Linked DNA regions of Oryctolagus cuniculus. The main gene of each other region encodes a partner of the protein of the gene in region 3 in a complex. Links are inferred from orthologs where the notes say so. Each region holds a gene or a part of one and is shown on either strand. Other genes may lie near its edges. The genes, in order: DCP1A, MAP3K5, PAK1, ARHGEF7, ARHGEF6 and DAB2IP.

The links.
Region 1: PAK1 (region 3) and DCP1A share a complex: the UniProt entries of both Homo sapiens proteins name them as parts of the cytoplasmic complex. The link is inferred for Oryctolagus cuniculus from reciprocal best matches to the Homo sapiens genes PAK1 and DCP1A.
Region 2: PAK1 (region 3) and MAP3K5 share a complex: the UniProt entries of both Homo sapiens proteins name them as parts of the cytoplasmic complex. The link is inferred for Oryctolagus cuniculus from reciprocal best matches to the Homo sapiens genes PAK1 and MAP3K5.
Region 4: the proteins of PAK1 (region 3) and ARHGEF7 are in contact, whole or in part, in an NMR structure (PDB 1ZSG), measured with the Homo sapiens proteins. The link is inferred for Oryctolagus cuniculus from reciprocal best matches to the Homo sapiens genes PAK1 and ARHGEF7. Residues at the interface, in NP_001363202.1 of Homo sapiens: Thr185, Pro186, Pro188, Val189, Ile190, Ala191, Pro192, Arg193, Lys198, Arg203, Ser204; in NP_001106983.1 of Homo sapiens: Lys192, Phe193, Phe195, Thr198, Asp201, Glu202, Glu217, Gly220, Trp221, Trp232, Pro234, Ser235, Asn236, Tyr237.
Region 5: PAK1 (region 3) and ARHGEF6 share a complex: the UniProt entries of both Homo sapiens proteins name them as parts of the cytoplasmic complex. The link is inferred for Oryctolagus cuniculus from reciprocal best matches to the Homo sapiens genes PAK1 and ARHGEF6.
Region 6: PAK1 (region 3) and DAB2IP share a complex: the UniProt entries of both Homo sapiens proteins name them as parts of the cytoplasmic complex. The link is inferred for Oryctolagus cuniculus from reciprocal best matches to the Homo sapiens genes PAK1 and DAB2IP.

Annotation. Positions count from the first base shown.
Region 1 is NC_091441.1:96,540,219-96,545,211, reverse strand, and holds part of DCP1A (mRNA-decapping enzyme 1A), read right to left. Parts: intron 4,260-4,993; coding exon 3,501-4,259; intron 534-3,500; coding exon 468-533; intron 1-467. UniProt on the Homo sapiens protein: Necessary for the degradation of mRNAs, both in normal mRNA turnover and in nonsense-mediated mRNA decay. Removes the 7-methyl guanine cap structure from mRNA molecules, yielding a 5'-phosphorylated mRNA fragment and 7m-GDP.
Region 2 is NC_091436.1:32,274,575-32,279,567, reverse strand, and holds part of MAP3K5 (mitogen-activated protein kinase kinase kinase 5), read right to left. Parts: intron 2,530-4,993; coding exon 2,352-2,529; intron 2,274-2,351; coding exon 2,105-2,273; intron 1-2,104. UniProt on the Homo sapiens protein: Serine/threonine kinase which acts as an essential component of the MAP kinase signal transduction pathway. Plays an important role in the cascades of cellular responses evoked by changes in the environment.
Region 3 is NC_091432.1:68,610,012-68,615,460, forward strand, and holds the start of PAK1 (serine/threonine-protein kinase PAK 1), read right to left. Parts: upstream 3,523-5,449; 5' UTR 2,940-3,522; intron 1-2,939. UniProt on the Homo sapiens protein: Protein kinase involved in intracellular signaling pathways downstream of integrins and receptor-type kinases that plays an important role in cytoskeleton dynamics, in cell adhesion, migration, proliferation, apoptosis, mitosis, and in vesicle-mediated transport processes.
Region 4 is NC_091440.1:2,006,426-2,011,418, reverse strand, and holds the end of ARHGEF7 (rho guanine nucleotide exchange factor 7), read left to right. Parts: intron 1-967; coding exon 968-1,067; intron 1,068-1,641; coding exon 1,642-1,696; intron 1,697-3,033; coding exon 3,034-3,156; 3' UTR 3,157-4,809; downstream 4,810-4,993. UniProt on the Homo sapiens protein: Acts as a RAC1 guanine nucleotide exchange factor (GEF) and can induce membrane ruffling. Functions in cell migration, attachment and cell spreading. Promotes targeting of RAC1 to focal adhesions. May function as a positive regulator of apoptosis.
Region 5 is NC_091453.1:114,518,680-114,523,509, forward strand, and holds part of ARHGEF6 (rho guanine nucleotide exchange factor 6), read right to left. Parts: intron 4,067-4,830; coding exon 3,967-4,066; intron 1,607-3,966; coding exon 1,552-1,606; intron 492-1,551; coding exon 351-491; 3' UTR 1-350. UniProt on the Homo sapiens protein: Acts as a RAC1 guanine nucleotide exchange factor (GEF).
Region 6 is NC_091432.1:225,759,009-225,764,001, forward strand, and holds part of DAB2IP (disabled homolog 2-interacting protein), read left to right. Parts: intron 1-2,221; coding exon 2,222-2,375; intron 2,376-4,488; coding exon 4,489-4,587; intron 4,588-4,993. UniProt on the Homo sapiens protein: Functions as a scaffold protein implicated in the regulation of a large spectrum of both general and specialized signaling pathways.

The DNA.
Region 1 (4,993 bases), on a different chromosome or scaffold from region 3:
ACGTGGGCTTGCTTGTTGGTGCAACATGAGGCTGAGCGCTCAGGCTGATCACCACGGAGCACGCAGAATAGTCTACAGAAAAGACTGGTTAAGAAGGCCAGTCAGAAGCTGGCTCTAATTTTAATTCTGAGACTGGAGGCCCTGGAAAGAAGTCTGATGTCAGGTGTGGTGAGTGACATGTAAAAGAAGCAGACAGGGAGGCCACAGAGGGGACAGCGGAGGCAGTGCATGGAGGCTTTGCTGTCAGGGCAATGGTACATGGGAGGTCTGGAGCAGAGTGGTGGCTCTGCCCTGGGAAGCCATAGCTTTCCAGGCTGACAGCTGCACCTGCCCTCCATCACAGTCAGGGAAGACATGATACACAGGTGACTTAACACCTACGGAGACCACAGCAATGACCTCTGTGTGGGAAGCAGCAGCAGGACCGAAACACATGAAATGCTTTCTTCAGAACAAGGGGGCCTTACCGGGATGGCACTGGATAACATCTTAGGCTGGGCAAATACTTCAGGATCCTGGTTTTGCTGCATAGACTGAAATGTTTCAAAAGAAGAGATAAATAGATATGGCAGGTTTCAGTGAAATTTCCTGATTACTGGTAAAAAAAAATCTATTTTAGCAACAAGAAATGGCTAAGCCATTAACCAGGTCTCAGATTCCCAAGGGAAGAGGCTGACAGGACTGTGACAATGACTCAACCTCCCCCTGCAGTTCCCCCGATGAAAGGTGTGCTTAAGTAGTCCCTAAGGAACAAAGCAGAAACCTGTATCTCAGAGTTGGGAGCTGTGCAGGCGTATTTTTGCTGTTGAGTCTGTAAAAATGACAGATGTTGGCAGCATGACACCTGGTAACAGGCTGTTTAAACCTGGACAGGTAGTACTGAACAGCTGCTACCCAGAGTCAGCCTTTCACATGCAGTTTTTCCTCATTCATTGGAGAGAGACAACTTGTAGAGCAAAGACATGAGAACTCTATGAAGCCCTGGTCTTTGTATTTACTGCTGTGTAAATGGAAATTTATACGCAGGGAAGCATGCCCTGCCAAGAAGGAGGCTAGGGCAGGGTGCTATCTCCAGGCTGCAGAGGGCAGTGTCCAAGAATGCTGGTGTGGGGCTGGCATTGTGGTGCAGTGGGTTAGACTGCCACTTACCACATTGGCATCCTGTATCAGAGTGCCAGTTCTCACCCTGGTCTTCACTTCCACTACAACACCCTGCATGCCTGGACCCCTGTACCCACATGGCAGACCAAGGTGGAGTTTCTGGCTCCTGGTTTTAGCTCAGCCCTGGCCCAGCTTGTTGAGGACACTTAGGGATTGAAACAGCAGATGGAAGATCTGTTTCTCCCTATCATCCTTTCAAATCAATCAATCAATTCATAAATAGAAAGGTCTTTTTTTTTTTTTTTTCCAGAATGGTTCCTCTAGCCACAGTGGCACATTTTCTTTAAACAGATTTATAATTTATTTGAAATGTGGAATTGCAGAGGTAGAGTGAGAGGGAGAGAGGGGGAGAGGGGGAGAGGAGAGAGAGAGAGAGAGAGAGAGAGAGAGAGAGAGAGAGAGAGAGAGAGAAAGAAAGAAAGAGAGAGAGAGAGAGAGAGAAAGATCTTCCATTTGCTGATTCATTACCCAGACGGTTGCAACGGCTGGAGCTGGGCTGATCCAAAGCCAGGAGACAGGAACTTCTAGGTCTCCTAAATGGGTGCAGGGGCCCAAGGATCTGGGTCAACGTCTACTGCTTTCCCAGGCCATAGCAGAGTCCTGGATTGGAAGTAGAGCTGCTGGGACTTGAACCAGCACCCATATGGGATGCTAGCACCATATGCAGTGGCTTTACCTGCTATGCCTCAGCACTGGCCCTTAGGTAAGTCTTAGGGATAAAAAGGACTGCTGTTGTGTTTCTTGAATCCTGCAGCAGTGGTAGCAGGCATGTCTGTTTAACAGAATATTCTCTCCTCTCTGTAACACAGAGAAAGGGCTGGAGGAAGACAATATAAATGCTACCAAGACCCTAAGTTTCCCCTCTATCACTACAAGATTTCAAAGGAATGGAACAAAAAAGTTAAGAAATAATACATAGCAACCATGATGGGCTTTTCCATACATTATTTGGTACAATGTTAAGATTGGGGATTATCATCATTGTTACAGATTTGATTATTTATTTGAAAGGCAGAGTTAGAGAGTGAGCAAGCGAGAGCATGAAAGAGATCTTCCTTCTGCTGGTTCACTCTCCAAATGGCCACAATGGCCAGAGCCTGAGCCAGTCTGAAGCCAGGAGCCAGGAGTGTCTTCTGGGTCTCCCACGTAGGTGAAGGGCCCCAAGCACTTGGGCCATCCCTTGCTGCTTTCCCAGGCACATTCGTAGGGGAAGGATCAGAGGTACAACAGCTGAGACTCAAACTGATGCTCAAATGAGATGCCGGCACCACAGGTGGCAGCTTTACCCACCATGTCACAGCACCGGTTCCTATCACTATTATTAAAGGGCATTATTAAAGGTCCTATAGGGACTCAGTACTGATGCAGAGTAGCAGGTTTTATACTATTCCAGTTCCGTGACCTTGCACAAATCACCCAATCTGGTTTTCTCGTTTGCATATCCCACACTTATGAATTACTGTGAGGGATAAATCTGTTTTTCCTCTACACCTGATCTACCACTGAGTCCCACTGATGAGACATCTCAACATATCCACATGCACACACTTCTTGATCCAGGCCCTGCCAGCTCTAACCCGAGTGCCGCCCTCTTCCTTCATGGCACCTCACTCTGCTCAGAGACTTCCCAGGCTCTGAAAACAAAGTACTGAGGGAGCTGGGAATGGGAACTAAGTTCAGGATAATCTGGGGATCTTCCTGACCCTGAACCAAGACAGACAGGGGCTGGCACTGTGGTGCAGTGGGTTAAGTTGCCACTTGGGACTCCAGCATTCCATATTGAAGGGCTGCTTTGAATTCTGGCTGCTCCACTTCTGATCCAGCACCCTGCTAATACACCTGGGAAGGCAGCAGAAGATAGCCCAAGTGCTTGGGCCCCTGCCCTCTGTGTGGGAGACCAGAATGGAGTTCCAGTCTCCCAGCTTTGACCTGATCCAGACCTGGCTGTTGAGGCTATCTGGCATCTAGGTAGTGAACTAGTGGATGGACGATCTCTCTCTGTTGCTCTACTTTCAAATAAATAATCTAAAAAACAAAAAGCAAGACAGATGAAAAAAAAATCCTATAGTGCATACTTAGGCAATATAAACGTGGTTTTTTTATCTGTTATCAGTGGGATAATTCTGGAAAGTGAAACTGAGTTACACCATTGTCTAGTAATTACTTGGTTGGTCACGGGGTGGGGGGGATTCTCCTTCCCCTTTCTCCTGGTCCTTGGTTTCCTTTAGAGATAATTCTTTCAAACTATCCTGTCTCACATCAGTAAAAATCAAGGTCTTTGCAGTTAGTCTCATCCAATCAGTTACCCACCCTGCCCACCCCGCCTCTGTTGCCACTACCTGAAGGGGAGCAAGCACCATGTTGCTCAAGGAGGCTGAGGCTGCTGCTCTCGCTGCCGCGGTCTTAGAGGGAGGCTCGATGAAGCTCTCAGGTGTGGCCAGCTGGCCAGCTGCTGGGCACAGGGTGGGTGCCACTGCTCCTTTCCCAAGTGTCTGCGTCTGTATTTGGTCATGCTGTGGAGTCAACCTGAGTTTATGCAGAAGATCAACGCTTGGGAGGGATGCTCCAGCTGGGTTTGTCACGCTCAGTGGGGCTCTGAAGGGACTCTGGCTGGCAATCAGACTGCTGTGGCTTAGCTCAGAGACAGGCTGGTTCAGCAGTGGAGACCTCTGTCTAGGCGTGGTCTTCACTGCTTGCATCATAGTGCTGTTTCGAGACAGGCTGGGGGGAACCTGCGCAGCAGGGGCGTCACCTGGCAGAGTGGGGCTGAGAACGGGGCTCAATGGGATTGTGTAGCTTGGGGCATGCTTTTCACTGGAGTGTGTGATGGAGGCTGGGGTGATTAGCACCGGGGTGGGGACTTCTGGCTGGACTGAGTGGTGGGCAGCAGAATGGACACCCGGGTTTTCTGATGGAAGGCCTCCTCCTGCTTGCTCAAAGGGGAATGGAAGGAAGGAGCTGGGTTCTTTCTGGGAGGCCTCTCCCGGCAGCTTCTCCACTTCTTCTGAATCCAGACCCATGACTGCGGGCTGTTCCTTTGGCAAAGAGGTTCCGAATAGCTCTTCTACCGTCAGATGTTTGTGTCCAGACGGAGCAGACTGAAAAACAAATCACACCACTTAGTTAAAAGAAACCTCTGGCAAATCACTGTAACCAAACTTGTTACCTAACAACTAAAACAGTAGTAAGGAATGGGACAAACTGAAGACAGGCTACAGGTACTTTTGGTCTTCTCTAGGTTAGTGGAAGGAAATCCACATGCGTAATTACCCTCAAATTCTAGGAACTTCAGATAATATAAGAAGACTTCATGGAAAATGGAACTGAAAGATAATTTTGGTGCAAAAATGTTTTGAAATCCTTATGTGGTTTTGTCACAATACGCATTGTTATGAACTTTCTGAAGATCCTTATGTGCATGAACTTGAATTTTTCTTGTACCAAAACAAACACCTTCATTCCCTTTTCCATGAGCTTTGTGAAGTGCCCTCCTCATGTCAGATTTACTTTTCCCTGAGGAGATAAAAGATGAAGGGGCAATGAATGAGCTTCCTACACAAGTGAACTGTGCCTGAGTGCCTCCTGTCAGCAACGTGCACAGAGAGTAAACACACTGCAACCAAATCAATCTACCTTTAATCCACTATTCTTGATAAAAAGCTAGGTACTGCACCTTGGGGCCTGGGTCTCAAACACCAGATAATAAAGCTTAACCAATCAATTGTTAAATTAAAAGAGGCCATTCCTCTTCTCTTCCCCCAAATCACAGGACCCTTAAGAAAAAGCAAAGCATTTGTGACCAAAAATTCTAAATTCACACACACATTTTAGT
Region 2 (4,993 bases), on a different chromosome or scaffold from region 3:
GCAGGCAGACTTGTCCTCAATGTCCAGAGAACTGAAAGATCATGTGTGGGACCAAGTACTTTTTTTTTTTTAAAGATTTATTTACTTATTTGAAAGGCAGAGTTACAGAGAGGCAGGGGCAGAGGCAGAGGCAGAGGCAGAGAGAGAGGGAGGAGAGAAAGAGATCCTCTATCCACTGGTTCACTCCCCAAATGGCCGCAACAGCCAGAGGTGTGCCTATCTGAAGCCAGGAGCCAGGAGCTTCTTCTGGGTCTTCCACGGGGGTGCAGGGGCACAAGGAACTGGGTCATCCTCTATTGCTTTCCCAGGCCACAGCAGAGAGCTGCATCAGAAGTGGACCAGGCGGGACTTGAATCAGTGCCCATATAGGATGTCGGCACTGTAGGCGGCAGCTTTACCGCTACATTACAGCACCAGCCCCCAAGTACTTCTGAGGAAGGCTCCTCTCCACGTGGGCCTGAGCTGCCGCCAGCAGCTTGGAGATGAGGGAAAGTCTGTGTCTACTCATGCCTATTTGGGGAGGCAGGGATTTCTCATCTCTGTAATCAGAATACCAGTGAACACACTTTCCTAGGTATTAGGGACTGAATTCATATGCTGGTGCCTTAACTTCTAATGTGACCCTATTTTGAGAGATGGCCTCTTCATGAAGGTCTCATGAAGGTTACATGAGGTCATAAGGGTGGGTCCCTAGTCCCATCAGACTGGTGTCCTTACAAGAACAGGCACCAGGGACCAGGGTTACAAAACTGGCTTCCCATTATCAGAGAGCTGGTTCCAGTCCTGGCTGCTCCACTGCCAATCCAGCTCCCTGCTTACATACCTGGGAAGGCAGTTGGAGGACAGCCCAAGCCCCTGCCACCCAACTGAGATACTGGATATACTTCCTGGTTCCTGGCTTCAGCCTGGCCCAGACTTGGTTGTTGCAGCCATTTGGGGAGTAAACCAGTGGATGGAAGATCTCTCTCTGCATTTCAAATAAATAAATAAATAAGGAAATAAATCTTAATTAAAAATAAGAGGCAGCAGGGGTTCACCTGTACAGAGAAAAGTCCATGTGAAGGCACAGCGAGAAGGAAACCATCTGCATACCTAGGAGAGAGGTCTTCGGAGAAACCAAAGCCTCTGACATCTTGACCTTGGACTTGTCAATTCTAGAACTCAGAGAAAACAAACGTCTGTGGCTGAAGCCTCCTAGCCTGTGGTATTTTGCTTCAGCATCTCTAGCACACAAATACACCACGGAGCAACAACTTCATCACCCAGAATTGCTTGGTTCACTGCACACAGAACCCTCTAACAGCGAACAGCAGAGACTTCTTAGAGCTCTCACCCTGCATCTGAACCCAGTGCCACAAGAACCACGTCTCTGCTGTGGTTGTGATGCTTCCCAAACATTCAAAACCACAGCTGGCAGGTGGCTTCCTGCTAACATGGGAGTCAGAGGTACACAAGGCTCAAGGCCTGTTGACTGAACAAATGGAATTAAAAGAATAAACAAATGAACAAACAGGGCTGAAAGGGACTGGCTGTAACCTCTCCAACATAAAAAAAAATTGCTTCTGACTTAAAAATAGCTTCCTGGGGGGACACTAAGCCTCCACCTGTGGCGTCGGCATCCCATATGGGCACTGGTTCGTGTCCCGGCTGCTCCTCTTCAGATCCAGCTCTCTGCTATGGCCTGGGAAAGCAGTAGAAGATGGCCCAAGTGCTTGAGCCTCTGTTCCCACATGGGAGATCCAGTAGAAGCTCCTGGTTCCTGGCTTCAGATTGGCACAGCTCTAGCCATTGCGGCCATTTGGGGAGCAAGCCAGCAGATGGAGGTCCTTTCTCTCTGTCTCTCCCTCTCTCTGTAACTCTCCATTTCACATAAATAAATAAAATCTTTTTTAAAAAAGAATAGCTTCCCCATTCCAGTCTCTATATTAGGAACTGCTTCTTTCCGTTCCCAGGATAGTCTATCACGGCGAGCACCTCAGGGGCCTCATGGCTCCCATGCTCTGTGACAGCCCCAGGTGCTGTGACACAGGGAGAACTTGTAAGCTCTGGACACAAAGTATCACTGAGGGGTAGGGGTGGGGGTGGAGGTGGGGTGGGGCCGTACCTGAGCTAGAGATTCCATCAGGTTTCTCACAATTTTGTCTTGGTCTTCAGTCAGGATCCTGTGCAGCGTGGCGCGGCGCTCGCTGTCCTTCCGCAGCAGGAAGAACCCAGAGTCCTTCTCCTCGGGGGAAGGGGGTGCGCTGTGGTCCTCGAAGTTCTCATCTGGAATGCTGAAACGAGGGGAGCGGCATGAGGCGCAAGGTCCCGGGGAGCCACGCGCCCGCCCCCCGGGCCAGGCAGCCCTTTACCCCAGGAAGAGGGTCCGTATTCCTTTGACATCTTTCTCGCCGCAGGATTTGGCTCTGGTTTTGAAGGAGAAGGGGTCCGCCTTTAGCTCAGTGTCGGGGGAAACAGAGCCGTACTCGCTGCTGCTGCTCGTGTCCTCCACCAGGACGGGCACCGGCAAGGAGATGCTCCTGAGATACTCTGCGTGGACGAGAAGCAACAGGCATAACTCACACCTCTGACAACTGACACGTGGCGAGGGGCGGGCATTGTGGCACAGCGGGTTGGGACCCCGCATCCTCATCAGAGTACCTGGAATTGAGCCTTTGTTTCCCATCTGGCTTCCTGCCACTGCACCTGGGAGGTAACAGGTAACGGCTCGAGTATTTTGGTCCATTCTACCCTTGGGGCAGACTCAGATGGAGTTTCTAGCTCCTGCCTATGGCCTGGAGCAGCTCTGGCTGTTGCAGGCATTTAGGGAGTAAACCAGTAAACGGAAGATCTCTGTCTCTCATACTTGCGCGCGCTCTCTCTCTCTCTGCCTTTCAAATAAATTTTTGTTTAAAAAGTACACATGTTGAAATAGCTGCAGAAAGATGCCAACAGTCGTCTTCACGTATCTCAGTGCAATGAGAGGTGTAATTCTGCTACTCAAGGAGCTGGCTGTGTGACTGTGATTGCCCCGAGCTCAGTAAAGAAATGTAAGCCACGAAAGGGACTCCCGGGCCCTGAAAGGAATCTCTCAAGGATATGAAAGAGATGTAGAAGCACCAGGCTTCGGATCCCTTCATTTTATTAACTATTTATTATTTTATCCACAGGTCTCCATTTTCACATCTATAAGATACAGAACCAGATTCAATTTTTAGAGATGTATTTTATTTATTTGAAAGGCAGAGTGACAGAAAAACATCTCACCTCTTCTGACTGGGCCTGATCAATACCAGGAGCCAAGAACTCCATCCAGGTCTCCCGCATGGGTGGCAGGGGCCCAGGTGCTTGGGCCATCTTCCACTGCCTTCCCAGGCACATTAGCAGAGGGCTGGGAAACTTGTAATTTATAAGCCATGTTCTTCAGAGCTTTAAGAATCCTCCTTAGCACTGGGGTTGCCAAGGGTGGGGTGGGTGTGAGGCTGAGTCTGGACCACAGGTCCAACTCTATTTTTCTAAAACGAGTAACGCTCTGGCCAGCATGTATCTTGGCTTTGTATGAGGAGGCAAATGAAAAGGCATTCTCTGCTAAGAACAGATTCTGGAAAGCAATGGACTAATGATCTCTTTGGTCCGTAGTTCTCAGATACTATGGTTGTATAGCAAACACAGGCTTCTACTTTATTCAGATGGGGACTAAGCTGGCACAATGGGGGCTGCTGACCTTTCATCAAACACTGGTTTTAAGAACAAAATATTTGCCAGAAACGTTTTTATCAAACACGTATTCCAGCGCTCCAAAAGTCTTTTGCTAAAGAAGGCAGACGTGAAATTATTAGAAAAGAAATCCACTGTTGCCTGGAAACTCCTCTCTACTTGCTTCCTCTTGGGCTGGGCTGAAGCAGCAACTGGTCTCAAGGTCAGGAGACGGGGGTGGACATCTGATAAGCAGTTGAGATGCTGCTCGGGACGCCTGTATCCCACATCAGAGTGCCAGGTTCCACACCAGCTGCTCACTTCTGATCCAGCCTCCTGCTAATGCAAACCCCGGGGGCAGCAGGTGATGGCTCAGGCAGCTGGATTCCTGCCATCCACATGGAAGATGGAGTTCCTGGCTCTTGGCTTCAGCTTGGCGCAGCCCTGGCTCTTATAGGCATTCTGGGATTGAAACAACAGATGGAAGATCTCTCTCTCTCTCTCTCTGTCTCTCAGATAAAATGAAAATAGATTTAAAAATTTTTTTTAAAGTCGGGGGATGGCCAGTCAGCAGTGGCTTCCTGACTCCATTTGCTACAGTGACAAATCGATGCTCATGAACAGGATGGGGTGGTGGCAGTGGGCCACGGAGACAAATGGACATACTGGAGGAACACTCGTACCTCGGATTTCTGCCTTCCCTTCCTCCAACTCTTGTCAGATTCTGTGTATGTGCGTGTGCATGTTGTGTGCATAACTGGATGAAAATACACCTACAAATGCCATGATATTAATGGTAGTTATTTCTAGGAAATATAATTTGGGGTGACTGTGATTTTCTTTTATTTTCCCAGAACTTCTAATAATAGACAAATATTATTTCTAGAGTCAGAAAAGTATGTTAAAATATTTTTCATAAGCCAACATTGCACAGATAGCAAAACAGGATTACCAAGAACTTGATTTATCTAATAGCACACTTAATGATAATCTGCAGATTTAAATGTCCCATGACACAGCAGGAAATGAGATTTCCTGACAGCGTATCACCCCTCATTCAGGGAAGCTCTTCCACACCACTCAGTCTTGGAAAGTGTTCTCCAGCCACCTCCAGGAGCATCCTGAATCAGACACTCTTGCAGGTAGGACCCAACCCATCCCCTTGGTTATATCAGGGATGGAGGGAAGGACCATTTCAATAGTCTATCCCACTTACAGGGCAGGTGAGGAAAGCAGGTGCTACAGGGCTGTCAAGCACTGCTTTCACCTGGAGGGAGGAGGAGGAAGGGGATATACACAGCTTCTGGGAATGGTTGGC
Region 3 (5,449 bases):
GGTGCTTATTTAGACTTGCAAAACCAAATTACAAATTCCCAAGAAACAATCCCTGCCTAGGATAGTTCAACAGCAGTTTTCAGGTAATGGCTAAAACAAACAAAATAAAAAGATAAAAAATCCTGCAGGCTTTGGTTGGAGAATGACAGATGTAAAAGGGAAGAAAATTTCTACCTAAAACATCCCCAAAAATGTTAGGAATCCTTTGGATTTACATATTAAAGTGTACTTCCTTTTCATTATGAGAATGATTCTTAACTATAACCCCAAAGTAGCAGTTGGCAGTAAATGGGACTAAATCACCTTATAGTATTCATTCAACAAACTCTTGAGTTCCTGCTCTATGCTGTCATTACTCTAGGCATTAGAATTAAAGCAATGGAGAAAACAGACAAAACTTCCTGTTCTCAAGAAGTTTTCATTCTCTTAAGACAGATTATAAGTGGGATGGAATGGAATGTCAGGCAGTAAGTGTCATGGAAGAAAAAAAGGGAGAAAGGGAGCTACTAGGGTATCAGGAGGCAATTCTGAAACTGGTTTGCAAACTTCAGCAAGCATCAGAACCACTTAAGAGAGCTTGTTAAAGCAAAGGTCTCTGTGGGAGCCCCAACCTCAGAGTTGTTCATGTGTAGGTTTCAACTAGTACCCACTGATTTGCTAACAAGATGCCAGATTATGCTGAAGCTGTGATCCAGGGACCACACTTTGAGAAACTATTAGGAATCTCTAACTCATGGGCCTTGACTTTATTCTTTATACACATATTCATTCATTTAAACACTTATTCAATGCCAGGTCCTTTGCTAGCCACTAAAACTAAACAGATCATGCCCTCATGAAATTCACAGGCTAGTGAAAAAAGATAAGCACAGACTTAACATAATTGTAATACAGTGCCAGACAGAACTAAAAACGTGGTGTGTACATGAGCCAGAGGATGGAAAGGCAACTTATTACAAGGACACCTCTGTAGGCAGGGAAGGTGAAGAAGGCAGACATTCTAGGCAGATGAAACAGCACAAGGGGAAGCACAGATGAGAAAAAAGTGGTAGGAGAGAGTTTACCAAAACTGAGGCTGCAAAGGTAGACAATGCTCAGATCTCCAGTTTCTAGTTCCAAGCTAAGGAGTCTGAAATTTATCTTTTGACAATGAATAGTCAGAGGTAGGAATTACTTAAGTGATTACGCTTTGTTTTACAAAATCCCTGTGGTTACACAAATGCCTTCCTTTGAGGTGCTGCTTCCTTCAAGTCTATACAGAGTCTCAAAACCTGTGCTCAATAAATGTATGTAGAATTTTACTTTTTCTTATGGATGAGGGGCCAGCCTGAAGAACTCAATTTGGCCAGAAGCAAACTTGTAAAACAGGTCCAGCAACCTCAATTATTGCACACTACTCCCTGTACAACTGAAGTCCCCCGGAGATTAGGGCAGGCTGCATTGTTTACTTGTCTACCTCACCCACTAGACTTTGAGCTCTTTGAAGACAAGGAAGGTCTTAACACTCTTGAAATCCCCATGGCTGTGGCAAGAGGCTTGAAGCAGATTCCAGTAATAATGGATAAGAGAATAACTGAATAAGCAATTTTACCAGGTAGACCCACGAGCTCACGTAAAGGTATGTATAAGGTTCAGGGAATGTTTCAGGGTCCATATTCCCAAAACTTTTTTGAGAATTAGAGCTGATGTGGGGTAGGTTTCATATGCACCTGATTCAGGATTTCCCAAACAGAAATTAAAATGCTACAAGTGCCATAGGAGAAATCTCAGTGGGCCTCTGAAAGCCCCAACGGGGAGAAGTCAGCTCTACCTGAGAGGGAGGGGACAGATGCCAGCAAAGACTTGGGGGGAGGCATATTCTTCACTGGACTCTTGAAAGTGAAGTAGGTATGCTGCCTACCTGCCCATTCCAGGGACACAAAAGCAAACTCCTAGAATTTTAAGGCTGGAAGTGACCTGCTCAAGGTCACACAGGAAGTAGGTAAAGCCACAAGGTAAGACAAATGAGGTATCTTTGTACTGTGGACTCCTGTTTTCTCCTGACAAGAGATGAGAAAGCTCAAATACACAGTTGACGAAATTAAACATTTTTCCCAAGAACAATTCTTTAAAGACAAGAGTGATGGATTTGAATGTTTATTGGTAACCACAATACCAACCTTTCCCTTCACCTTTCACAGTTAAAAAATACAGTGAAGTGTAAGACAATTATCCAAGGGGTTTAACAAGGATTTTACTGGCAACACCGACACACACCCAGTACTTCTTAAGTATTCTTCCAAAACACTGCCAGTAATGTTTACCGTTGAAATATTCAAAACAGTGAACGCTGTAATAATGTCTTTTGAAATGGAATAGCTAATACAAAACAACTATAATTCTCCCTTCCTCGATTGTTTTCACCTTCCTAAGTTAGGGAGTACTCCCGGGATGGGGGAAGGGCTGCATAAATCGCACTACTGTTTTCTTTTCAAGTTGAACCCTAACGGTGGCTCTCCAAGCCTGGACTGGGGAACTTTTCCACGCAGAATGAAGCGGGCGCCCTGTGGCCAGGCTTCCCCGTCGCGGGCCACGGTGAGCGCTGCGGGACGGCCAAGTTCGGGACGGAGCTGGTCCCGGACTCGGACCTGTCTGGTCTCCCAGCCTCGGCCCGGCCCCTCCCCCGCCGGGGCCTCCCCCCTCCCGGCCCCCCGATGTCCCGGCGTCCGAGACCGGCGGTCGCGCGGGTGCGTGCACAGGGGGCCTTTGTTGGCCCGACGGGAGCGGCCCGCCTCGCGGGGCGGCGCCCGCCTCACCTCACCTGGCGCCCCCGCCCGCCGGGACCCGGCGCCCAGAATGAATGCGCCCAGGGCCCCCACCCCGTCCAGCCCACCCCGACCGCGCGCCTCAGCCGGGACAGCCCGCAACGCCAGGGGCACCGACCGGAGGCCGGCTCTTACCTTCCGTGCTCGCTCTGCTCCGCTCGGCTCCTCCTCCTGCTCCTCCACCCCGGTGGCGGCGGCCGGGCCGGGGGTGAGCGCGCGAGTGTGCGCGAGCCGCCGCTTCACTTTCTCCCTCCCGCCGCCGCCGCCGCGCGCCTCCCCCCGGCCGCTGGCTCTGGGGATCCCCTCAGGACCGAGGGACCTGCGAGGGAGGGGGCGGTGAGGCGGGAGGAGGCGCTGCGGGGCCGGCTCGGTGGGCTGAGAGGGGCGGGGATGTGAGGGGCTCGGACGGCCTCGGAGGGAGGTGGGAAGTCGATGGGGAGGCAGAGTTCTTTGAGCGGGATTTTGGGGACTGCGGGGTTCGGAGAAAAGAAGAGTCCGAGGGCAAAGTGTCTCCGGAGTAGGACAGCAGAGCGAGGCGGGGAGGCGCGATGGGCGAGCTGAGGGGGAGGGCGTGTGTGGGCAGCCGTGAGGGGGCGTCCACTGTGTAGCCGGCACCTTCAGTTCCAGTGGCAGCCGCTGCCCGCCGCCGCCCCGCCGCAGGCGCCCTATTGTAAGCCGCCTCCCGGGCCCGACCGCCTCGCCCACCGGCCCCCGCCCCGCCCCTGTGAGGCCTCGGCGCCGGCGGAGCCCTGCCCGCCCCGCCTCCCGCAGGTGGGAGGGGGCGGGGAGGGCCGGCTGGCCCACGTGAGCGAGACCAGCCCAGGCGAGGGGGAGGGCGAGCGCCGGGATGACGTCATCGCCTCATGACGCCAGAGGCTGGGGAATCACCCGGTTGCCTGTGACGTCATTGCGCCCGCTCCTCTGCTCTCTGCGGGTGCTCTCAACCCGCCGCAGGTTTCTTTGCTATGGACTTTGTGACTGAAAACCTTTGGGCAATTTCTGGGATGGCTGCAATCGGAAAAAGGCGGCTAACCCTCAGGATTCAGGGACTGCTGCTTACAAAGCACCACCGCATTCGTTAGCTCATTTCCAAGGACTGAATTTGAAAACGGTTTCGTGTGATCTCAGAGCCACATTATCTATGATTCTAATTGTTTTCTTTGGGTAGGATGTGGGAGCCAAAGTGGGGAGACAAAGGATAACCATGGTGACCTGACACAGAAAAAAAAAAATGGCTTCCTTTCCCGTTTTTCTCTTTGTATGATGTCTACTTTCTCCAAACCTTGCCCTGGAGCAAAGATTATGTATTTACCAAAACCTCCCCCACAGCGTTCACCTGCATGCATTGTTGTACCTCAGATTCAACGTGTCCAGTACTGGACAGCATTGGTGGCTGAAAGTCTGGAACAAGATTGTCTTGCTTCAAATACGTATCATCCATATAAATGTTAGTAATAGGATCTTAACGTTTTTAAACCATACTTTCTCCATAATAAGTGGTACTTGTGTATCCTTAACTTAATCTCTCTAAGCCTACCTGAAGCCATAAAAATGATAGTGACAATTAAGCATAGTCAGCCCTTTGGAATGTTGACTATTACCAGTCATTTCCCTCCAACCTTGCGACTCTTGTGCCTTCCTGGTCTCAGTGAATCGACCACACAATCCAGCAGTCAGTGAAAACAGAAACCTGGACGAAAGTCCAGATTCTCTCTACCTGCCTACCAAACTGGACGTCAGGTCTTGTCAATTCTACTTTGCAGGTCCTTGCCCTTCTCTTCCTCCACCATCACATGAACTACTGGCGCAACCTTCAGTTGCTCCAGATCCAATCCACTGACCACCACAAATATGATGATGTCCTCCTCTATTTAAACACTCTGAAAGGTTTTTATTGCTTTCAGGATAAAGTCTAAAATCCTTAACCTGGGACTTCACAACCTGACTTTTTCAGCTCCATCACTCATCATATAGCTTTTCCTCCAGCCACACTAAAATACTATTTAACATTCTCGCAATACACACTTCTTCATGTCTCTGAGCCCTTCACTCCTTATGTGACTGGCCAACACCTATTGATTCTACAAAGCTGAGCTCAAATGTCATGTTCATTTATTTATTTGACTAATATTTCTAGAGTTTCCCTGAGCTTTGACAATTCTGTAATCCTATAGTATTTCCACGCCTTTTATGGCATGTAGTACTTTAATAAGGGAAGGAAAGATAGCAAACATCAGAATTTGCCTTCATGCCAACGGGCAAGGTTTATGAACTTTATCCACGAACTTGATTCTCCCTCCAAATTAAGGATTTTGAGGCGGGGCTCCCCTGCTTTTGGGAGCAGACTCCAGGAGATGGAAAAGCCAGAAAGACAGATCCTCTTCTGAAGCCTCCAGAAAGGAACAGAGCGCTGCCAACACCTTAATTTTAGCCCACTGACACCCATTTTGGACTTCAGAACTACAGAACCATAAAGTAATAAACATTTTCAGCCACTCTATGTGTGATGATAATATAGTGTGTGTCAGCCACAGGAAACTAACAGCAAACTCCAAGGGAAGGTAGCCGCTGGTAACTGGGAGGGGCGTACTTGCTGGAGGTGCCAGGTTCTCAGCTGCACCCATTCACTGGTCTCCATTGCCAGT
Region 4 (4,993 bases), on a different chromosome or scaffold from region 3:
CCTTGGTGCCACTGTGGGAGTCTGACGCTGCTTGCGTTCCGAGGAGAGCAGGCTGACCGCAGCCGCGGGGGATGCTCGTGGCCGTGAAGCCGTGTCTGCACAGCGCCCTCGGCGTCCGACGCCGGGAGCATGAGGCAGCCTGGAGGAGCAGAGCGAGTCTCCGCCTGTGAGTGCTTTTTCCTGGAGCAGCGTGGATCACAGCCCCGGGCCGCCTCCCGCAGGAGACGCCGTCTTCCCTCCAGCCTGTGTCTGGCCTTGTGTTTCAGAACTGCGGACGGTGTGTGTGGTCTCACAGCTGAAATAAAAAACCGCTGCTTCCTTGCCTCTTACTAAGACTTGGTTTTCTTCCCTCCACTTTGCAAATGAGTGTCAGAGTCTCCCAGTGCGTCTCAGCGGCACAGATCCGCACCGGAGCCTGCCCGAGGTCGGCCCGGGCAGGCTGCGTGCTCGGGTGCCGGCGCTGGGATCCTCCGGTGTTGTGAACAGCGTCTTTCATGTAGAAGAATGTGTATGTGTCCGGGAATAATAAAGTTTGTGTTAAAAAACCGGCTGCCGAGTGTCGCCTTTTTAGACACCGCTGTGATGTTGTCTGTAGTGTGCAGTGTGCCACTGCCGGGTGCTGAGTGGCAGGCATGGGGGGGAGGGGGTGTTGTCGGGTCTCGTGCGTCGTCCCGAGATTCCTGGGAGAAGGTGATGTCTCGGAATTTGTGACCTATGCAGACACTTGTGGTCAGAGCCTGTGGAAGGCCCCTAGTGAGGTTCAGGGACGCAGGTTTATGCATGTGACTCCCGGAAGGGCGGCGTGTGTGGGTGCGGGAAGGGCGTGCGGAGAGCCGCCTGTCTCGGGGGTCTGGGGGCGCAGCTGCTGGAGGTAGCGTCTGAGTCATGCTGTATAGTCAAGTTGTGTCGCCCAGCTGCCGCGTGGCGTTCACCTGAGCCGTTCTGTTTTTTATTTTCCCTACCCTAGGTTCACGCAAAGAATCTGCTCCACAAGTTTTGCTTCCAGAAGAAGAGAAAATTATAGTGGAAGAAACTAAAAGTAACGGCCAGACGGTGATGGAAGAGAAGTAAGACGTCTCCGCGTTCCCACTGCCCGTGCGGCTCGGGGGCGGAGGGCCAGTGCGGGCTGGGGCTGGGGGGCGGTGGGCCAGTGCCGGCAGGGGGCTGGGGGGCCGAGGGCCAGTGCGGGCTGGGGCTGGGGGGCGGAGGGCCAGTGCTGGCAGGGGGCTGGGGGGCCGAGGGCCAGTGCGGGCTGGGGCTGGGGGGCGGAGGGCCAGTGCGGGCAGGGGCTGGGGGGCGGAGGGCCAGTGCCGGCAGGGGGCTGGGGGGCAAAGGGCCAGTGTGGGCAGGGGCTGGGGGGCAAAGGGCCAGTGTGGGCAGGGGCTGGGGGGCGGAGGGCCAGTGCGGGCAGGGGCTGGGGCGCCGAGGGCCAGTGCTGGCAGGGGGCTGGGGGGCAGAGGGCCAGTGCGGTCAGGGGCTGGGGGGCGGAGGGCCAGTGCTGGCAGGGGGCTGGGGGGCCGAGGGCCAGTGCTGGCAGGGGGCTGGGGGGCAGAGGGCCAGTGCGGGCCGGGTGCTGGAGGGGTCTCCCCAGGCCTCTGCCCCCCCAGCCAGGCTGATGTCCTCATTCTTCTTCTGTCACAGGAGCCTAGTGGACACTGTGTACGCGTTGAAGGATGAAGTCCAAGAACTGAGACAGGTATGTCACTGTTGGTTTCGTGTGCGCACACATGTGTGTGTGTGTGTGTGTTCAATGGGAAAAAAAGGAAAAGCCCTCTGCAGATTAAAAAAAGGACCACGAGGAGATGGTGTCTGTCGCATCCGACCAGTGCAGCGGTGGCTCTGGGCGTGTGGCTGGGCCCGGTGGGAGCTGGGGCGTGGCCCGTGGGGACACTTTTGAGCCGAGGTCTGTGCTGTCGGAAGCCATCTGTTGGGATAATTTAGAACTCAGATCCTGCCCCCGAAAACTCCATGAGGTCCCTGATTCGTCTGTGCGGGCACATGGGCCAGTCAGCAGCATGTGTCACACTGGCCAGGGGTGGTATTGATGTGTATATGTGTGGTGTGTGCATGTGTACACATGTGTGCGCGTGTGTGGTGTGTACATGAGTGGGGTGTGTGATGTGCATGTGTGGGGTGTGTGCATGTGTGGTCTGTGGTGTGTGTTCACGTGTGGTGTTTTCACATGTATGGTGCCTGCACGTGTGTGGTCTCTGTGTGGTGTGTGCAGCGTGCACATGTGTGTACATGTGTGTACATGTGTGTGAATGTGGCATGTACACGTGTGGTCTGCATGTGTGCATGTGTGGCCTGTGTTCACACGCGTGTGGTCTGAATGTGTGCATGTGTGTACATGTGGTTGTGTGTGGTCTCTGGTGTGTTCACACGTGTGTGGTCTGAACGTGTGTGCATGTGTGTACATGTGGTTGTGTGGTCTCTGGTGTGTTCACATGTGTGTGCATGCATGCGCTGTGTGCACATGTGTGTGCATGTGTGGTCTCTGTGTGTACGTGTGTGCATTTGATGTGTGCACACGGCCTGGGTTCCCTGCAGAACCTGGAGAGGGAGGGGTAGGGGAGGTGAAGGCGGCAGCGACGCCGGGGCCGGGGTACAGGGTCCCTGTGGTCAGCCGTTCCCAGGGACGTCCATGGCATTCCCGGCCGCTCCCCGCCCGGTGTGACCCGGCAGGTCTCAGCCCCAGCATCCGGCCCAGCTCTGTGTGCTCCAGGCGCGTTTCAGTGCCGCGTGGGGCCCAGCTTAGCCGCACAGGCGGGCTCGTGGCCGCCCCTGCCCCTCGCGTTGGTGACTGAGGGCCTTGTCCTCGGGGGGTGCCGGGGCCAGAGCTGTCCACCACATCGTCGTGCTGCGTGGACTAGGCCTCGGGCAGCCCCGGCTGGGTTTCAACTGCCGAGGCCCCGGTCCCCGAGAGTGCGTGCGGGGAAGGGCAGCCCCGGCCGGGTTTCACCCGCCGAGGCCCCGGCCCCGAGCGTGCGGCTGGTGGCTGAGGCTGAGCGCTGTGGTGTGCCCGGCCCCCAGGACAACAAGAAGATGAAGAAGTCCCTGGAGGAGGAGCAGCGGGCCCGCCGGGACCTGGAGAAGCTGGTGCGCAAGGTGCTGAAGACACTGAACGACCCGGCCTGGGACGAGACCAACCTCTGAGGGCCGGCCGCAGCGGGCCGCACTCGGGAGGCGCAGGCGCCCAGGGCCCCCGGCACCGCCTCCTGCCGTAAGTGCAGAACCAGTGCAGAGCCCGGCTTCCCAGACTGTTGGGATGTGACGGACACGCGTGCCCTGCACCTCCTGCCCCCGACCGCGGACCTGCGTGCTGCGACTCCCTCCCCACACGCCTTCCTGGCGGCCTGCACCCCTGCCGTGCGCCCACAGCCTGACCTCAGACCCTGTGCGCAGGCGCTGCAAGCCCGCGGAGCGGCCGCCCAGAGACCCGGCCCCCACGCCCCGTGGGCTCCCGGGCTCTTCTGTGGCCGGTCTGACCACTCCACGCTGCACGGTTCCATCCTCCCCCGAGAGTTCCAGCACTTGTAAATAGAATGTGTTATTTATTGTGGCCCCAGCAGAGGGAGGCAGCCGGCCTGGCCGCGACGCTGGGAGCTGCTCCCAAGGGCGGGCTCTCCCTCCAGGCTGACTGGGCACAGCCCCGCCCGTGCGAGCCGTCCCCTCGGCAGAAGCAAAGCAATACACAGCCCAGTGCGGCTCAGTGACTGCAGCCCAGAGGCCCCACCGGGGCGGGCAGGGCAGGGAGCCGGCCTCGCCCAGCTCTGCGGGCCTTGGGCCTGGGAGGCTGTGGGCGCTCCCGGCCGGCTGTCCCCTCTCCCTTGGCAATAAGCAGTGGTGACCCAGGGCCTGGCCGGCCTTTCCCTCCTGTGTCGGAGATGACGGAACCTCCCGCAGAGCAGTTGTCGTGTCTCTAGAGACCTGTGTGACAGCGGACGAGACCGCGTGACTGCGCCTGCTGAGCCCTGCCTTTGACCCGGCAGCCTGGGGGTTGGTTCTGTCCCCGCACCCCTGCTGACGAGGGCACCTTCTCCTGCCCCAGCCCTGCGGCTGCGCGGCCCCTAACCCGAGTCGCCAGCGCTCTGTGTTGGCGTTTTCTACCTGTCTGTCTTGTCTTTTGGTGAGCTGCTCTCCCAAGCGGCTTTCTGGTGTTGCCCAGGACGTGCGGCAGAGGCGGGGGCTGTGTGCCGGCAGAGCCGCTGTGCCCAGCAGGCGTTAACTCAGGAACAACTGCCCCGCCCCCCGTGCCTCTGCCAGCCGTCAGCTGTGGTCTGTGGCCGGGGTGGGCCCCTCCAGAGCCTGCCTTAACCGGGGAGGAGGGCCGGTCCGTGTAAAGCCTCCCCTGAGCTGAGCCGCGCTCACCGTGGCGGCCGTGGGCCCAGCGCCTCCTGGATCAGAGACGGGTCTGCAGGGAGGGCTGCCCTCTGGTGCGCGGCCCTGTGCCTGTCGCCCAGTGACCTCCGGAAGGGGAGGAGCTGGCGTGGACGGGCAGGGGTGTGTGGCCCACAGCTGTCCCTGCGGCAAGTGAGGCCGGGCGGGCGTCTCTCCCTGCACGTGGGAAGCACTTCCTCTTGGAACCGGCGTAGAGATGTAGCATCCGGGACTTCCCGGGCCCCGGGCACCTGCCTGGGCTTGTCCTGGACTCTGTCCATGCCAATCATTCTCTCCACCTCGGGGACCTTGGACGGCATGGAGCAGCCCCTCCTTGCTGTCACAGACCATGTCCTGGTGTCGACTGCTACAGTGTTCGCGCTGCGTTGTTGGAATCATTAAACTCGTTATTTTTCTTATGTCACAAAACGGTCCTCTCGGTTGTCTTTGGCGAGTCTGACGCGTGTGTGCCGCCCTCGCTGTTGCCGTTGGCTTTTTGAGATCTGGAAGCTCCGGTGTGGGTTTTGATGCCAGAGAGATACCGCTGCCGCCTGAGAGTGTGGACGGGAGACTGGGAGACGGTGGACGTCCAGGCGGCTGGGCCTTCGCGGGG
Region 5 (4,830 bases), on a different chromosome or scaffold from region 3:
CACTGTGAACTGAAGGCCATCTGAGGACCACTTAAGTCATTTGCCTGCATTGGCTTTCCTTTCTTCATTAAATGGAAAAGATTAGGGCCACTCCTACCTTCACCTTCTGTTTTTTTTCCCTGTTGGAATAGTAACCAACCAGTAACCAAACAACATCAAAGAAAGAGACAGAGACAGAGAGAAAAAGGGGGGAGGGAGGGAGGGAGAGAGAGAGAGAGAGAGAGAGATACTAGAAATACTGAAATTCAAACTAAAAGCCAAAGAAGTGAGCAAGCAAACTGAGTCAAATTCTTTGACCAGACATTTCAAGATGCCCTGAAAGCACACTCCTCCCAGTTGCTCAGTGATGCTTATGGAAGAATTGAGGTCTTGCTACCGGACTCAGCTCGCATGCATTCATCAGTTTGCTTCAACAGCCTCCGAACCAGCTTTTCTAGGTCCCTTCTTGACTTCAATTCTTCTTCCAGACATTGCTTCATTCTTTTATTCTCCTACAATGGCAAAAGACTTATTGATTACCAGAGTGGGTCCTTCCCAAAGCTTCTGCTCATCTTCTTGGCAGCATTTGCCTCTGACTATACTTTCCTTCCTCAAACTCTGCTCCCTCAGCTTCTAAGAAGCTCTTGATTCTCCTACCTATCTGATTGGACTTTCACCCTCTTATCTGAAATACAAGTATTCTCTAAAGCTATTTTTACTTTTTGTCTCTTCCCTTTCAAACTGTCTATTAAGGGACCTCCCAAATATCTCTGTTGCTAACTTCATCTCCTAGGCACCGGGTACACAATCCCAAATGCGAGCCTAATATTTCCACCTGGATAAGTTACAAGAATGTCAACTCATTAAGTCCTAAAATGAATACAATATTTCCCTTGCCACCCCAAAATTCTCCCTCTCCTGTGGCTCCTGATCTCTGTGAGGGGCATCATAACACCAATCTTAATACCAAAAGAATAAGTTGTACTTTAATCCCTGGTTGTCTCTTAATATCAACATTATGTCTTCATATTCCCTAGGTTTGAATTCCACAGGGTACCTTCCTATCTTTGTATTCATTTTCCTCCTCCACTACCTCACTGGCTTGCCTCAGTTCCCTGAGTTTTGTAGGAACCTCCTAAGTGGTCTTCCCCGGTCTCTCCCCGTCCCAGCCCTCCTCACCCTGTGACCAGCTACAGTCAGTCCTCACACAGAAAGCAGAGTGTGTATCACAGATCACTGGACCACATCGGCAGAGGAGCCCACAAACCATGCTTTAGGATTCTCTTTATAGTTACGTACTCACAAGTGATTTGGCTTTTCTTAAGAAAATGATGTCAGAGAACAAACGTTGTAACTACTTGTGAAACCCTATTGCAAGCTGTTACACAGGAATATAAGCAAGCTGCAGAAACTGAAACCCAAGGTCCCATGGTAAAGTCAACAAGTACACCCTAATGACACCAGGAAAGCAAAAATCCCCTTCACCACCTTGCCCCCAGGATCTTTCCTGACAACATCTATCTGTGTAGGGCAAGGAAGAGGCAGTGAGAAAATGACACTTATATTTATTACCTGCTTCAGTTCTTTGACTTCATCCTTCAAGGCATAAACAGTATCGACAAGGCTCCTAGAATGTAAAGATGAAATTCAGGGATGAATGGCTGGTGCTGAAGTATTGTTGAATAACACTTAGCAACAAAAGCAGCTCTATATGAATACAAATCCTGAAAAACAGAGCACTTTCTTGCTGAGCAGGAATGGTACTGCTTTCAGGGGCTCTCACTTCCCGTATTTTGGTGGCAGAACCACCAGCACCACACATGTCCATTCCAAGCCCATGTCATTTTCTCTTTATACTTCCCTGCTCCTTTGCTACTCACTTCGCAGCTTGTGTGAGTGAAAAATTATACAAGAGCACAGTACAAGATTTGGCTTTTTCCGTATCTATTAAGGTATAATTTGACCAGTAAGAAAATGTATAGGGGTGGGTATTTGTCCTGGAAGTTTTAGACATGGTTAAGATGTCTGTATCTCACATTGTAGCATCTGGGTTTGAGTCCTGGCTCTGGCTCCTGACTCCAGCTTCCTGCTAATAAGCACCCTGAGAGGTAGCACATAATGGTTCTAGTTGTTGGGTCCCTGCTACCCATGTAGGAGACCTGGATTGGGTTCCTGGCTCCCAGCTTAAGTCCTGCCCCAGCTCTAGCCATTGTAGTCATTTAGGGAGTGAACCAGTAGACAGAAGACACATTTCCTCTCCATCTCCCTCTTGTCTAATAAATACATAATTTTAAAGCTATGTATTTTAAGATGTACAACATGATCATTATACACACACACACACACACACTATGAAATGGTTACCACTATTAAAGTAATTAATATATTCATTACCTCAAAGAGTCCCCATTTTTTGTATGTAGTGGGAACACTAAAGATTGCATTCTTAGCAAATTTCAAGCATATAGTACAGTATTATTAACTATAGCCATCATGCTCTACATTAGGTATCCTGAAATTATTCATGCTGCATAACTGAAACTGTACATCCTCTGATCAGCGTCTCCCTGTATGTCCCAACCTGCCTGATCCTGGCAACCACAATTCTACTCTCTGCTTCTATGAGTTCAAGTTTTTTAAAAATTCTCATCATAAGGTTTTAATTTATCTATCTTTGATACAGGAATGAACATCACCAAACACATGATAAGAAACATTGTCAGGCTATTCTATATTATCTGTGCCATGGCACTGCCTTTCTCATTTATCTGACCCCACATAACACGAATTCAGTGGCATTACTTCTGGGAAATTCCATATACTACAAAAAGAAAACAGATGAAGCATCCTGGCTGGGTTGTAGAACAATCTCTCTCTTTTTTTCTGGCTGGCTCTCTCCCTGGGCAAGGATTTCAGAGATTTAGGTTCCAGCTCCAATCCTGCCACTTACTAGTCCTCTAGCCTTGGAAAATCAGTTCCCATCTCATCCTCCCTTGGTCTTAGTAAATTAGAGATAATAAGACATTTCTGGGAAATCACAAAAGGTTATGAAGACTCATATAGCTGCAATAATCACCATCATCAGTAAAACCATTATCATTTGTTGAATGCTAGCCTTTGTAAAAGTTAGCATTTCATTTGACCACCAGCAATCCTGAAAATATTACTATCATCCCACATCTTACAGATGAAGAAACTGAGGCATAGAGGTGAAGGAGCATGCCCCAGGCCACACAGCTATTGAGTTGAAGCATTGAGAGTTGAGCCAGAACTTTTCGTGTCTTGAGCCCAAGTTCTTTACCATTTTGTTGTGTCATTTCTTACACCAGATGTAAAGATATATTGACATACCAAGCCCTTTGAAATGTGCTGTCCTATGCAAATTTGGGTCTGACTGCAGAAATGACTCAAGTTGAAGCAAATGAATTATTTAGCCACTTTGCATCTATTTTACGAGTCATGGGGTATTTAAGCTGGTTTCCCCCTTTTAGCCCACACTCACTATTGTGCAAAGGGAGGCCAGAGACATCATTTTCCTGTCCCTCAGTTTCTTCATTTGTACAAATGGTGAGAGGAATGCTTATCTTGCTGGATTGCTGTAAGATTGTCAATGAGGTCAAGTATGTAAAAGTCCAGCACCTCACTCAAAAAAAAAAAAATGAGAAGCGGTTCTGGACAGGGAAATGAGTGTGCTATACCCTTCCCAGGAACCTCCTAAACCCACCAGAGCACAAATATGCTTGCATGTCCTGAAGCAGCTGACTGCATGGGGGAATGGCTGCAGGGACAGCCACCATGTGGAGCTGTTCCCCAGGGCTCTGGGCTCTCTGCCCCTCCTCCCTCTTTCCTTTGTAAGGGAGGCATCCCTCCCAAGGCTCACCACTCCACCACATGTTCAGCAAAGAGGGTCACATTGCCACACCACTCTACTGGATCGTTTGTGCAGCCTACAGACACAGTGAGAAAGGTTTAGCCTGCTCTACTCACTTTTCTTCTATGATGGTCTGGCCATTGCTCCTGGTTTCTTCAATGATGAGTTTCTCTTCCTCAGGCAGTAGGACTTGAGGAACAGAATCTTTGCGAGCACCTACAAACCAGGGTTGCAGGATGAAGGAGGGGGGAGAGTTACTACTGAATGGGATTTCTAGCTCTGCATTCATTTCGAACATAATTATGGAAGGGCCTTTGTTCACAGGACATTGCTACTTGGCACCCAGAGGGCAGTCACCCTACACTTGGCTAACTAAATCTTCCTGACATGAGCAATTCTAAATAGCCAAATATATTGATTCAATCTTCATGGTGGCAGGGGGTGGGGCAGGCATTTTAAACTCACAGAAATTACGTGAAAGGGCCAGCATAATGCCCATCCTCAACACGACCACTACACCTTCCTGTCTTGTCTCCCCAAAGCAGAGAGCTAACCAGTGACTGCTGTGTCCTTGTACATCTCCAGGGTATGACACAAGCTCTGGTGTTAAGCGACTATAGTAAAAGTCAGGTGGAGAGCAGCCCTGTGCTGGGACATGCACGTTTGAAGAGCTTTGGGAGCCTCATTAATGCTCACTCATTCTCTTCAGAGTCCTACAAGGGAAGACAAAGTTATTTAAACTCTTTTGATCAAAAGTAGGATGGGATTGGGAGATTATCACATCAGCAGCCAAATTGCAGGTGTCCTGACTGCTCTCTGCTCAAACTGTATCCAAGCTCTGGGACAGAAGAGATGACAGGACAGACACAGGGACCTATGAAACAGCTTTCCTGCACCTACAGCCTCCTCCTCACTCTGGATTCTCCCTCTCAGAGCTCAAGTGTTTTTCTTTGTTTCTCCCTCAAACACCGATCTCCTGT
Region 6 (4,993 bases), about 160 Mb from region 3:
AGCTGCCCGGTTCTTCCTCCCAGTGAGCTTGACCTGCAGGGCTGGAAGCAGCCCGTGGAGAGGGCGTGGGAGCGCCAGGCTGCCCAGCTGCAGCCTGCTGGGCCAGGCCGAGCTAGGGCTCCTGAAGGGCCCTGAGCTTCCCACGGCCCTCTGTTCCACCAGCAGCCTTCCCACGGCACCCGGGCCAGCTGGGGCGTGTTTGTGGGACAGGATGGTGGGGAAGGAAGGGGAGGGATCTGCAGCCACAGGCCCCAGGCTCGGGCGGTTTGGGGGTTTGGCCTGGGCTTGTTGGGCTGCAGGAGCAAGGCCCCTTGGGCAGGTCCGCTTGTCTGCACCATGCCCACCCATCTTCCCCCCCAGGCCAAGTGTGCTAGGATGCCTGAGGCAGGAGGCCGCCTCAGCTCACCGGCTCCTCCCTTCCTATTCCTGGGTCCCTGCCCCTTCCACCCTGGCTCTCAGCGTCCCTACCTGGCAGGGTTTCCCAGGCTGGGCCGGAATGCAGCCTGATCGGAGTCCATGGGCTGTGATTTTGGTCTAGGACCTCAGGCCTAGGGGCAGTGGGTCCCACCCCATGCCAGGCAGGTGACAGCCTGGCTGGCGTCTGAGGTCAGGCATCTTTTCCAGTGAGGTACAGAGCCCCATCTGGGAGGAGGCTGCCCGGGCCCAGCCCAGGGGAAAGCAGACTGGCCTGTGGCATTGGTCAGTGCCGCGGTGGGAGGAGGCAGGGCTGTCTGAGTAGGGATTGGGGGTCTGCATACCTGGAACGGTGTGGCGTGCTCCTCTGGGCACTGGGACGTGGTGGGGGCAGGGAGATGTGGGGCAGCAGGAGCACCCAGGCTGGGCCATGCTGGGGAGCTCCATGGGGGCTCCCTGGGGGTGCTCCTAGCTGCCTCAGCCTGTCCCCCAGCTTCCCTCTGGTTCTGTCCATTCTCTCAGAGCTTTCAGAGGCCAGCTTCGTGCTGGGCCCAGAGAGCCAGTGGGAGGAGGGTGCCTGGGTCTCCTAGGGTGGACTGTGTGAGTGTCCAAGGGCTAAGGTTTAATTTCCAGCTCTGATCCTTCACCGCGCCTAACACAAAACCCCGGATCCCATGGTGGGGGAGGGGCATGGGGAAAGGGGCATTGCCATGGAGGTGTGGGGGTGGGGGGTGTCCTTCAGCCTGGGAGGCCTTCTGGGCAGGGCCCTTCCAGAGTCAGGGCCTCAGTCCCCTCCCCCCGGGCAGTCATGGAAATGGGTGTACAGGATGTGTGCCTTGCAAGGCTGGGTCTGGTGACCTTGCCAGGCCGCGAGTCTCTGGAGGTTGGGGCCTGAGTCTCGGGCAGACATGAAGGTGGGGTCTTCATGTCACATGGAGCCCTTGGCTCATGGGAGGCCAGGAGCCAAAGGCAGAGAGTATCTGGAGAAGGAGGTCTGCATGGGCCCAGTGTGGGGCAGGTTCCTTGCCAGCTGCAGGGGTGCGGGCCGTGGGTACCAGCAGCCAGTGCTCCGGCTGCAGGAGGGCTCCTCAGGCCCTGCTCATGCAGATGGCCCTGCAAGAGGACATCCACTCTCGGGCGTGAACTTTACCAACCATGCAGCAGGTGCAGTCAGAAGTGCCATGCGATGCGCTGAGAAAGGCGAGGTGTGAAGGGGAAGTGGCTTGCCCAGGGCCACAGAACAGTGGGCAGTGGACCAGTCCAGGCCCAGCCTCCCTTTGGGTACCAGGGGGCATCAGCTACCGCTGTTCCTTGTGCCTGTGTTGGGCTCCTGAGCCCCTGCACGAGGACCCCAGGGCGGCTCCATATCTCAGGTTCCGTGCAGAGTGTAGCCTTCCCGCCGCTCTGAGCTTGTCTGTCCTGTTCAGGAAGAGGTCCCCGGGGCTCCCCTGCCTTGCGTGGGGCAGGGCTCAGGGTGTGAGATGGAATCTGTTGACGGTGGTGCCCTGGACAGGTGCCAGGACACGGTGAATGCTTTGGTTTTGAACAGGGCCGGGGCAAAAGGGAGAGGAAGTGGGAAAGGGCCAGAGCCCTGTAGGCTTTCTGCATCCAGCCAGCTCTTTGGTGTGGCTTCCTCCCCAGCCCCAATCTGTCTTAAAACGGAAGGGAGAACAGACTCAGGGGAGAGCCCCTGCCTCTGGGGAGGGGAGAGGGGACAGGGACGGGGTGGGTAGGGCTGGGGAGTGGCGCGAGCTTGGCCCTGGCTGGGGCAGTCCTCACCTGACCCTCCCAATGCCCACCTCCCCAGGTCCCATCTGATGCCCAGGCTGAAGGAGTCCCGCTCCCACGAGTCCCTGCTCAGCCCCAGCAGTGCGGTGGAGGCGCTGGACCTCAGCATGGAGGAGGAGGTGCTCATCAAGCCGGTGCACAGCAGCATCCTGGGCCAGGACTACTGCTTCGAGGTGGGTGCCCCGCACGGGGTGGGTGCCCCACACGGGGTGGCTGCGAGGTGGGTGCCCCGCACAGGGTGGCTGCGAGGTGGGTGCCCCACACGGGGTGGCTGCGAGGTGGGTGCCCCGCACGGGGTGGGTGCCCCACACGGGGTGGCTGCGAGGTGGGTGCCCCGCACAGGGTGGCTGCGAGGTGGGTCCCCCGCACAGGGTGGCTGCGAGGTGGGTCCCCCCACAGGGTGGCTGCGAGGTGGGGTCTCCCGCACAGGATGGCTGCGAGGTGGGTCCCCCCACGGGGTGGCTGCGAGGTGGGTCCCCCCACAGGGTGGCTGCGAGGTGGGTCCCCCACAGGGTGGCTGCGAGGTGGGTCCCCCGCACAGGGTGGCTGCAAGGTGGGTCCCCCGCACAGGGTGGCTGCGAGGTGGGTCCCCCACAGGGTGGCTGCGAGGTGGGGTCTCCCGCACAGGATGGCTGCGAGGTGGGTCCCCCCACGGGGTGGCTGCGAGGTGGGGTCCCCCCACGGGGTGGCTGTGAGGTGGGTCCCCCACAGGGTGGCTGCGAGGTGGGGTCTCCCGCACAGGGTGGCTGCGAGGTGGGGTCTCCCGCACAGGGTGGCTGCGAGGTGGGGTCCCCCGCACAGGGTGGCTGCGAGGTGGGGTCTCCCCACAGGGTGGTTGCGAGGTGGGGTCTCCCCACAGGGTGGTTGTGAGGTGGGGTCTCCCCACAGGGTGGCTGCAATGCTGCCGCCCCCTCCCCCCCCACCCCCGCTCTGGGGGACAGTGGCTGGGGTTCCTGGTGCAGCGGGAGCTGGGGCTGGGGAGGCCGGGATGTGTGGAAATGGACCAGCAGCTGTTCTCCATGCTGGCCCGTGGAGCTGCTGGCTCCAGTGGGTGAGCGTGAATGAAGAAAGCCTGTGTGGAGCTGCTTAGCCCCAGAGCCTGTGTCTTAGACCCTGCTTGCCTCCGCTCGCAAATCAGTGCGGGAGAGTGGGGGCTCCTCCTGTTCTCTGACGCAGCCAGGGCAGGGTGTTACCCGGGGATTGCCGTGCGGTCTGTCCCGGGAGGTAGCGAACCAGGCCCAGCAGGGCAAGAAGCTGTCAGATGTCACCCAGCAAGGCCGAAGCCCAGCAGCGTTCCTGGGAGCCTCTGCTTGCTTCTCCAGTCCCTCGCGTCGTCTTCCTGTTTCTGGGACGACCCCCCCTGACAGTTTGGGGACCTCTGGTAGAAAGAGGAGCAGCCTCTGGGGACTAGCGTATCAGCCTCCTGGCACCCCTGGCCTGGTGGCATCCATCCCACACCCGTGCCCACTGGCGGACCTTTCTGGTTCAGGCTTCCTGGCCAAGCCAGGCTTGATCCGGGCTCTTACCTCCTTGCTGGGGCCGGCCTGAGACACGCCTGTCCGCCTGTTCACAGCAGGGGTGCTGTGGGTGTGCAGGTGCGGCGGAAGGAGTCTGGTTTCCCCAGGGGAGCCCTGGGCCTGGTGTCGGGGGCAGTGGGGACTTGCAGAAGCAGCCTGGGCCAGGCTCCCTCACCTGGGAGAGACGTCCAAGCTGGGGCTGGGAGATGAGTCAGGCAGGCAGGGAGGGCAGGGTGACCCCACGGCGCACCCGAACAGCCCAGTTGACGTCTCTGCAGGCCGGCTTTGCGTTAGGCTTCAGGTCCCAACGTCGTCACTGTTGCTTGGCCAGTGAGAACCCTCCGACAAGGTCAGCTGAGGTGCCTGTCATACCTCCCCGTGCGTGTATCCTTAGTGAAGCTCCCCTTGGGCTGCACGTTGCCCTGTGACCCGGCAGGGGCCCTGTTCCTTCTCTGCCGCTGTCTCAGGGACAGGCAGGTTGGGGTCAGGAACTGCTTTCCTGTTTGGACCAAAGGACATCGAGGCAAGGTTGAGGAGCCTGGAGCAGGAGCCTGACGCTGCAGGTGGGGCCGCCGTCCTGCTGCTGGCTTGCTCCGGGTCCTGGGTCTCAGTGTACTGCCTACAGGACGTGACCTTGTGGGGTAACAAGGGCCTTGTCCTGCCTCCTACCTGAGGCCACAGTGGAGACCACAGTCCCCGGAGGTCTTCTGTCGCCACTCAGCCTTGCGTGGTCCCTCCCCCTGTAACGCCGTCCTGCCTGTCCCCACAGGTGACCACGTCATCGGGAAGCAAGTGCTTTTCCTGCCGGTCAGCAGCCGAGCGGGATAAGTGGATGGAGAACCTGCGGCGAGCAGTGCACCCCAACAAGGTAGTTCTGTGCCTCTCTTGCCAAAGCACGGGGGATGGAGGTCAGACAGACACGAGGCAGCAGGAGGGCGAGGGCTGGCATGGGAGCAGCCTGCGTGGGCAATGTTCTTGCGCCCTGAACGAGGAGATTGACTCGGCCAGGCTGGGCCAGGCTCTGGGCTTGTGTTCTTGAAGCTACACGTGGAGGAGGAGCTGGCCCTGCAGCCTTCTGCCTGGAGCCCTGTGCCCACTTGTCCCTAGCTGCTGGGCCATCTCATCCTGCCTGAGACATCTGCATCTCCTCAGGACAAGCACCCTGGTCTGGGTTGGTGCACCTGTCTGTATTCCCACAGAGGGGGACCCTGGGCTCTCGTGTCAGGTTGTGGGACCCCAGAGGCCACCCTTGCATCTATATCCGTTTCCCCAGC